Neurospora crassa OR74A: one gene and its partner. The protein of the gene in region 1 purifies or fractionates together with the protein of each later gene. This does not show direct contact. Links are inferred from orthologs where the notes say so. Each region holds a gene or a part of one and is shown on either strand. Other genes may lie near its edges. The genes, in order: ckb-2 and crf6-1.

The links.
Region 2: the proteins of ckb-2 (region 1) and crf6-1 purify together in Saccharomyces cerevisiae (affinity purification with mass spectrometry; 5 studies listed by BioGRID). This does not show direct contact. The link is inferred for Neurospora crassa OR74A from reciprocal best matches to the Saccharomyces cerevisiae genes CKB2 and CHD1.

Annotation. Positions count from the first base shown.
Region 1 is NC_026501.1:3,448,679-3,452,831, forward strand, and holds ckb-2 (casein kinase II subunit beta-2), read left to right. Parts: upstream 1-1,261; 5' UTR 1,262-1,635; coding exon 1,636-1,692; intron 1,693-1,775; coding exon 1,776-2,021; intron 2,022-2,103; coding exon 2,104-2,658; 3' UTR 2,659-3,399; downstream 3,400-4,153. Other genes in the region: NCU11228 (DUF1339 domain-containing protein), read left to right, coding at 1-584; NCU02755 (PAP2 domain-containing protein), read right to left, coding at 3,730-4,153. UniProt on the Saccharomyces cerevisiae protein: Regulatory subunit of casein kinase II/CK2.
Region 2 is NC_026501.1:4,381,321-4,385,692, forward strand, and holds the start of crf6-1 (chromodomain helicase, variant), read right to left. Parts: upstream 2,820-4,372; 5' UTR 2,652-2,819; intron 2,522-2,651; exon of another isoform or gene 2,199-2,521; 5' UTR 2,171-2,198; coding exon 1,757-2,170; intron 1,703-1,756; coding exon 1,673-1,702; intron 1,618-1,672; coding exon 1,521-1,617; intron 1,457-1,520; coding exon 1-1,456. UniProt on the Saccharomyces cerevisiae protein: ATP-dependent chromatin-remodeling factor which functions as substrate recognition component of the transcription regulatory histone acetylation (HAT) complexes SAGA and SLIK. It recognizes H3K4me.

The DNA of each region.
Region 1 (4,153 bases):
CCATCCTCCCACGCGTGCTGTCACTTCTCTCATCGTTCAAGCAGTACTTGGACATTGTGGTGCAGTGTACCCGCAAGACGGAAGTGCGTTCCTGGCGTACTCTGTTCGCCTATCTCCCTCCACCTCAGGAGCTGTTTGAGGAGAGCTTGCAGCGTGGGAGCCTCAAGACTGCTGGCGGCTACTTACTCATCCTCCATACCTTTGACGAACTCGCAACAGCAAGCGAGCAGAGTGTGCGTCTCTTAAGCAGAGCAATGCGCGAGGGCGACTGGGAGCTATGCAAAGAGCTGGCGCGGTTTTTAGCAGCGCTCGATGAAACGGGGGACACGCTGCGTGAAGCAATGGAGCTGGCCAAGATGCGAGTGAAGCAGGAAAGTGAGCTGGAGGATGGCCATGGCAGCGTAGGCAGCGGGCTGGGCACAATGCTTGGAGTTCCTCAGGGTGGTGGTGCTAACGGTGCTTCCAGCACTACCAGCTCATTGATTTCCAATACCAAGGGGATCATAGGTAGTGACTGGGATGCTGACAGGCGCACAATCAGCGACGCCGGCAGCGTTGTCAGTGCTAATCGGTACGAAGGTTAATGAAGTGGATGGAAATTGGAAAGCGGATAGTTGGTTGTAGGATTGTTGGATATCCATAGCCGTGGCGCTCACGATCCTACCAGAACGTCACTTTATGATGAAGCGGGGGTCTTGAGCTCTAGACACATGCTGTAGGGCAACACAGATGTTATAGAAGCCGGGATGTTTCAAGATAATCTAGAACAGCTATAATCACAGGCGACTGGCGTTCTTATCCCCCATTTTTATTTATTTATATATATTTTTTTTGGGTTTTCCGTCTCCAACAATATACCTGCTCAAAAATAAGGCACAAACTGTAGCACTGAACGTCATGACGCCCAATAGAATACCTACCTTAATGACAGAGTACATGCTTCCATCCCCAGTACCTGTGAACGTACAATTAAAGTCATACGCTGGGCCGTTGGGCTGACTGAAGGCCGACGAAAGGTACCCGCCCGCTACCTACCTACCTACCTAGGTAGGTACTTAGGTAGTCAGATGGTCGATTTTGCAGACCTGATAACCTACCTCTGTGTAGTGCCCTGGGTAGGTCGGGACTGCTGATAAACAGACTGCGATGAGCCAGGGGCGGGGGGGCACTGCAACCTGCCCTGCGGGGACCACTGCAACGGCGATGAACCCCCCACCAAAAAAAAAAGTCCCTTGTCATGGACTGTCAGCCTGTTTGGCTCCCGGTCTAGAGTCCAGACCCCCTCGCCTGCCCTGCCGTTGCCCTGCACCAGGGACGGCTTTGAACCCTCTTCCACCTGAACTCCCATCAAACCGTCGCAAAAAAGCATCACAATCCTCTCCAACGTCTTGTCGTCATTGTGCCTTGTGCCAGCTCAATCTCATCCGACTCGGACCTCCCACTCCCCATCTACGGCCCGGCGCGCATTAGTTCGGCCCAACAAAAGGTTCAAACGCCGTACTTGACCCCGGCACCCGGGATTTTGGCCTCGTTGATGCGAAGCGCCAGCCGACGGTCGTTCGCGCCCACTTTCCTCCCACCACCACCTTCCTCCCTTCCTTTTATGCGCCGAGTATAGACGTGGTGTCGCCGGCCATGGATGACTTTGTGAGCGAGTCTGAGAGCGACTATGCCAGCTATTGGCGCGACTGGGTATGCTTCTCTTGCAATTGTTGTTATTGTTTACTACAGTAAAGGTTCCCCAATCATGCTGACATTTGCGCGTCCGCCTGCAGTTTATTTCCTCGCGAGGCAATGAGTACTTTTGCGAAATTGACGAGGACTACATCACTGATAGGTTCAATCTAACTGGTCTCAACACTGAGGTCCAGTACTACCAATATGCTCTCGATCTCATCACCGATGTCTTCGACCTCGACTGCGATGACGACATGCGGGAAACAATAGAGAAGTCTGCTAGGCACCTGTACGGTCTTGTCCATGCTCGATACATTGTCACAACGCGGGGTCTTCAAAAAATGGTCAGTAATCAACTCTCAGCATTCCATCTTCATCCAGCGTCTCCTCGTCTTCATCCGTGACTAACGCACTTCCCACCAACAGTTCGAAAAGTACAAAAAAGCCGACTTTGGCAAGTGCCCGCGCGTCATGTGTTCCTCGCACCCTCTGCTGCCCATGGGTCTCTCGGACGTGCCCAACTCCAAGCCGGTGAAGCTGTACTGCGCGCGTTGCGAGGATATTTACAACCCCAAGTCGTCGCGCCACGCCGCCATTGACGGCGCCTACTTCGGCACCTCGTTCCACAACATCTTCTTTCAGGTATACCCGACCCTGGTGCCCGCCAAGAGCGTCGAGCGCTACATTCCGCGCTGCTACGGCTTCAAGGTGCACGCCGCTGCCGCTCTGGTGCGCTGGCAGAACAGCCAGCGGGACGAGATGCGTAGGCGGCTGAGGAAGCTCGAGGTCGAGAGCGGGTTCAAGGACGCCGAGGACGAGGCTGAGCTTGACGATGATGACGAGGAGGAGGAGGAGGAAGAGGAGGAAGAGGAGGAGCTGGCTGCTATGGATGAGGCTGAAGGTGCCCAACAGCAACATGCGGCGGCGGCGGCAGGTACAGCAACGGGAGGCGTTGCTGCCGGCGGTGAAGGCGTTCATTAGAAAGGGCCTGCTGCTACTGGTGGAGAAGCGGATGAAGAGTATTGGAATTCAGAAGCCACGATTGGAGCCGCCGACGAAGCTGACGATGAAGCTGAGCTACCAAACGAGCCAAACGAGCCGAACCATTGGTTGACACCTCTCATGTCTGCTGCTGCAAGGCTGCGACGGAGTCTCAGGCTAGGGGAGGACTATGAAGAGCAGGCTGAAGTGGAGTTCGATGAGTGGATGGAACAGGCGAGGTACGGGATCTTTTGACTTTTGAGGTGGTGGAATGCATATACCATACAGTATCGAGTAACAAAGTATGAGTACAGGTGCCTCTCTTCTCTTTGTTTTTTTGTTTCTATTCCCGCACCCCATAAGCCTCTACACAGCGGACGTCGGGATCGATGCGAATAAGGGAGAGAGAGCCATTGATAGAGTGTTTATGTTCTTTGGTCTAGCTATACGTCTTTTCGGTTCTTACCAGACGATTTCTTCTCACCTTGCCGGCTTTGCTTCTCTTCGTCTGTGCTGAACTGCACCCTTCTCTGTTTCAAGCCTCCTAAAAACCAATCGTCAAATCGACGGGAAGTTGAACTTAACGCTTGAAAGGCAGTCTCTTGGAGCGTGAAAATTCAAAACGACCAGACCATATATCCAAGCGTCTACTGAGGAAAGATTCACAAGCGGTGTCATGCGGCAACACGAACCTTTCAAATACATGAACTGTTACCACAGCATAAACACGTTGATTAATGCCGAAGACCAGTGTGCTCAAACTTCCCTTGAAGAGTTACCAGGTAGATATGTGTACATATGGATAGGTTCCTCATTTCCCTATCTCAAAACGCCTCCTGAACATAAGAGAGACTGTACCAAAACCCATGTTGGTGACATAAAACCATTTGTTGTTCCTCATATTTCCTCGTTTAGAGAAATAATCGCTTTTGTCATCAAGCCCACCCATCCGGGCCAAGTCCCTACTTCCGGAAAATGCACCTTGACTCTTCTGATCCGACAATGCGTCGAAATTTGCCTTTCATATCTGATCGTCATTTACCCGTCTCTGTAAGCTGTGTCAACCTGTTCTCATTGATCAACGTCAAGCGACGGTGGTTTCCTCCCCGTGATGATCCCACCGGGCTGGTCCGGTCCCACATTGCTTTCCAAACCGGTGCCATTGGCCCGTACCACGGGGTGCCCATAGCTGCTGCCGTGATCTAAAGAATCCGGACTCAGCGCCTCCTCCTCGTCTCCCGCGCGATAATACTCGCCGACGTTGTGATCAGTTGAGTAGCTGTAACTGCCGACACCTGCCCAGAACGCCTTGTCGCGACTGCGCGGACCCCAAGCCCACCCAGCACCTTGCGAAATGGGCAGATGGTAGTAGCGGAACGAGAAGAAGGCACAGATCAAGCCGATGAGGTAGCCGAACAGGATGTCGAAGCCGTGGTGGCGGAAGTCGAACCAGCGCGAACTGGCGATAAAGATGGACGCGAACCACGGGATGATA
Region 2 (4,372 bases), about 930 kb from region 1:
TCCTGTTCTTCATCAGTGGGACCTTTGTTATCTGCGGTAGACAACGCTTCAAGCTCCTCATCAATGACGACCTTTCCGGGGTTAAGGAAGTCGAGGAGGGCTGAGAGTTCGGCCAGATTGTTCTGAATGGGTGTGCCGGTAATGAGGACCTTGCAAGGAACGCCGAAGTTGTTGAGCTTGATGTAGAGCTGTGACTCTCGGTTCTTGAGACGGTGGGCCTCGTCAACAGCGAGAACTTGCCATTTGATGTTCTTGAGATGATCCGCATCGGCCAAGATGTAGTCATAGGAAGTGACTAAGACATTGAACTTGGTCTTCTTTGGGTTACCATCCACAAAAAGTTCGTAATCTCGAATGTTGGACCGAGCTGCCTCCGGGCCCAGGTAAACGACGTAATTGAGATCCGGAGCCCAATGATTAAATGTATCGCACCAAGCGGGGATGACGCTAAGAGGAGCGACGACAAGGAACGGTCCTTCCTGGCCGCGTTCATTCCGTAACCAGCTGAGGAACGAGACGCTTTGGACAGTCTTTCCCAGACCCATTTCATCGGCTAAGATGACGTTGTTGCCCCTTACCCAGTTGAGAGCAAGGAAGTTAAGGCCTTTCATTTGGAACTCGCGAAGCTCGCCGCCCTTGATATAGTCAGGCTGCTTCTCCAGTTTGGTCATCCTCGACCGGGTATCGGGGTTAGTTTGCTTGCGGTCAGACTGCCATGACCGGTTGCATCGGTCGAGGAACTGGTTAATCTTGTCCTGAGCAAGTTCGGCCACGAGAGACTCGGCTTCCCAGGTGCACTCGTCGTATTGCAGGCCCTTCCACTTGATGTAATACTCGGTGCCCTCATCACCGTCTCTGACAGCCACAACGCGCTCGACCTTTGTGTAGTCTTCGAGGGCCTCTTGCTCACGTTCTCTATCCAGGTACCACTGCTCTTTCTGCTCCGGACTGATATCGTCGCCACCGAATTGCATCTCCAGTTCGTACTCAACAACCTTCTTGTAATAGTTTTCGAGGCGGCGAAAGCCTCGGAAGCCTGCGACAGTTTCCGTAGTTTCCCAGGTGTTGTGGGGATATGATTGTCCCTGCCACTTGATGAAGTATTCAAAGTCGTGTCGCGTAGAATCCACCGTGACCTCGACACCCTCCTTAGGACGATGACCGAGGATTTTCTCGATGTATGGCGAGTTATCCTCGACATTGGCAGACCAGTAGTTGGGGGTAAGCTCGGAGTCGTCCTCTTCATCTTCTTCGGCGTCACTTTCTTGGTAGGCACCGGCTGAGACCTGGGCGGCCCGACGGCTAGACCATCTCTTTTCGCTAAAAGCCAAGGCAGGGTCCTGTTCTTGTTGCCTGCGGACCTTTCTTTGGAAGCTGCGGGCTTTGGCGCCTCCATATGTGTCCGAGTCGGAATCATCGATTGAGGGTTGGCGAGCAGGAGTGCCACGCTTGGAAGCTGGAAATCACGACAAGTCAGCAGTGAAACAAAATGCCGAGGAGTATGACGGATGAAAACTTACCAGGCAACGAGCGTTCAACCCGACGTCTCTTCGCAGGCTTTCTAGACACCGGTGTGGCATCCGATTCGGATGGTTCATCTTCTTCATCTGAGTCGATCTGTTTACTCAGTTAGGAGAGGCGTAACGACGAGAGCTCATCTTGATCCACTTACGATCTGCGCACGGCGTTGTGTAGGGCGTGACTGTTGTAGGTCGTTAGCATGGTATAACACAACAAGAATGCGGGATATTCGTACACTCCTCCTCAACCCATACAGGGCAGGATTCTCTCTGATGTAATCATCCTCGGTCGCGTGGGCGACTTTGCGCTTCACGACGGTACGGGACGACGAGGCAGACACGACTTCGTTGCTCTGAGCAGACCTGGGGCTATCGGGGGCGTCAAAGTCTCCGTCATCTGACGCGTCGTTATCACTTGCTGAATCGGACGCTTCCTCGAACGTCAACTCGGGTTTTTGTATCGGCGAGACAGCCTCGTCGGCAGGCTGATACGACTGGGCGTCGGCGTCGTCATTTGGGTCGGCCTCGGCGGCATTAACGTCTGAAAGGTCGCTCGTGCTTTCGGTATCGTTGGTAAAGTTGAAGTGGCTGTCATCCGCCGGCGGTGACACATGCCCGAACACCGGACCGGATTCGGGAGATGTCGACATTTTGAGACTTAGACGCGGAGGCTGCCTGCTGTAAGACGACGATGTCAGCCAGCGGTACGCGTCATTTACGAATCACTACTTGGGGCGATGGAAAGAGGCCACTCTTGCGACCCGGAATCATCAGAGAAATCCGGTATCGGGGTAGCGGACGACCCTCAATGATGATTGTCGCATTGGCTCGCGTGTAAGTGATGGAGGCAAGGCTGTGGATGATGAGGCGGACGGCGACGGCGATTGCAGTCGCGTGTGGGCGCCCTGAGGGCACGGGAGAGCAGGCCATGGTCTAGGGCAGCTGTAGAGGCGATATTCATCAAGAATCGACGGTCTGGCGACCTCTACAAGCTGGTAGACGATGGATATCAAGGGCGACGAGGCCCGCTTCGATGGGCGAAATGATGGGGAAAATGCAAGGCGAATACGCAGGGCAGGGCACGCAGTGGGCAGTGGGCAGTGGGCAGTGGGCGGCAGTGGCTGGACTCACAAGTCATGGAAGAATTAAGAGCCTCCAGGCAGCAGACTGCAGAGTGAATCTTCAAGCCCGAGATTCACAATCGCGGTGCCGTGGGAGGAGTGGTGGTGGGGGAAATGGTCAAGGCCGGAGACCCTGGGAGGGGGCTGGCAGTGGTGATGGTGTAGCGGAAAATCGCAGTGATGGACGGAGGAGAAGAATCCATGAAAATGGTGAACCAGAACCAGCAACACCAGTGGGCCACTGCCTGGCTTGTGCTTCAGACGAGGCCCGCTTGCCCTCAACTCAATGCTTGCTCAGTCCCACTTTCTGATTGGTCAGTTTCGTTGGAAGCAACCTCCGAACTCAAGTGTGGGACCGCCACATAAAGGTTCCAGCTCCGTAATTACCGAAACCGAAATGTAACGCGTGTCTTGTGATCTGACCACTTCAATGATGTTCTCTTTCACTGGATGGTAGCGCCAGGAGGAAGCACACTTGCCTAATCCAGTCCGATGGGCGCTGTCACGATCCTTGCCCGTTTTGCTCACAACGCACGAATTTCAGTTGTGTGACGAAGATCTGTAAGATCAATGTTTCTTGTAAGTTTGGGTTTGGAAAGAACGAATAACAGGACACAAACCCAACGCGGCTCGAGCCTGGTCGGATATCATTGCTGGAGCTTGCCAGCTCGTTGGTTGCCCACTCCGATCGTACCCTTCCAGACGGCGTGGGCGGTGTGAGGCAGGCGAGAGCGGGCGATTCCCGATTCAATTGCTTGGAGGTATGTATGGTTATGACCGCTCAGCTATCAGGTTATACAACACTGGAAGAAGTTCAAGGATGGAATGTGGTTGATATAACAACAAATGATTCAGAGAAGTGTTGTTGTCGGTTGATGGCACATCGACTGTGTACCGGTGCGACTTGGGAATCAACAAGGTGGGAAAGATGGAAGATGGACGACAAGCTGAGAATACTCCCGGTACGTGGACGTCGCCCGGTTTTTCTAGGTAGGCATGCTGGCGTCGAAGGGGTTTTCTTTGTCAGCTCCGGTGCAGGTGCCAGCCATGCACTGGTCTCTCCTGGTGCTTCACTTCAACTTGGTACACCGCGAGCACCGGCACCAAGGTGATTTGGATGATTTCCCGCCACTGGAGCTCCGGCTCGAAGAGAACCTACTGCGAGCCGACGCAGGCAAACCCAGGCAGGCAGTCAGGACGACAACATCTTGTAGGTGATTGTGCGGGGCCACCTCTATTTAACCCATTCCACAAACGTAATCCGAGAGCCTCCAAAAGTGTCAAAGAGAAACAGATATACCTAATCAAAGATTTTATCCTCGTCTCATGCCTATCCGACCAAAGAAATACCAGTCCTAAACTCCCTTCAGATTATGAGTATGTCCAAGTGGGTATGGTAGAGGCACCGCTTCCCTGGCGCAGCTGGAGCAGATCCGTCCAGGACGATGGATCCACACGATCCCGTGCTGCTGGGGCCACCAGCCTTCCTTGACTGCCAACATTGACCTCTGTCGGCAACTATCTTCAACGTCTTGATGCCGATGTCATTTCTGCCTCGACAACATGTGGAATAGACTGCTATCAGAGTAGATTGGTTGTGAGTCACTGCCCGGCCGGGGCGCAGGAAACATATGTCGACAGGCAGCCAGAGCTCTGTTCGGAAGTCCGGTTTGATGTCAGTAACCCTGCGCCTCTCTGCATCGTGATCGTTGACGGCATCCGTGATGCTGC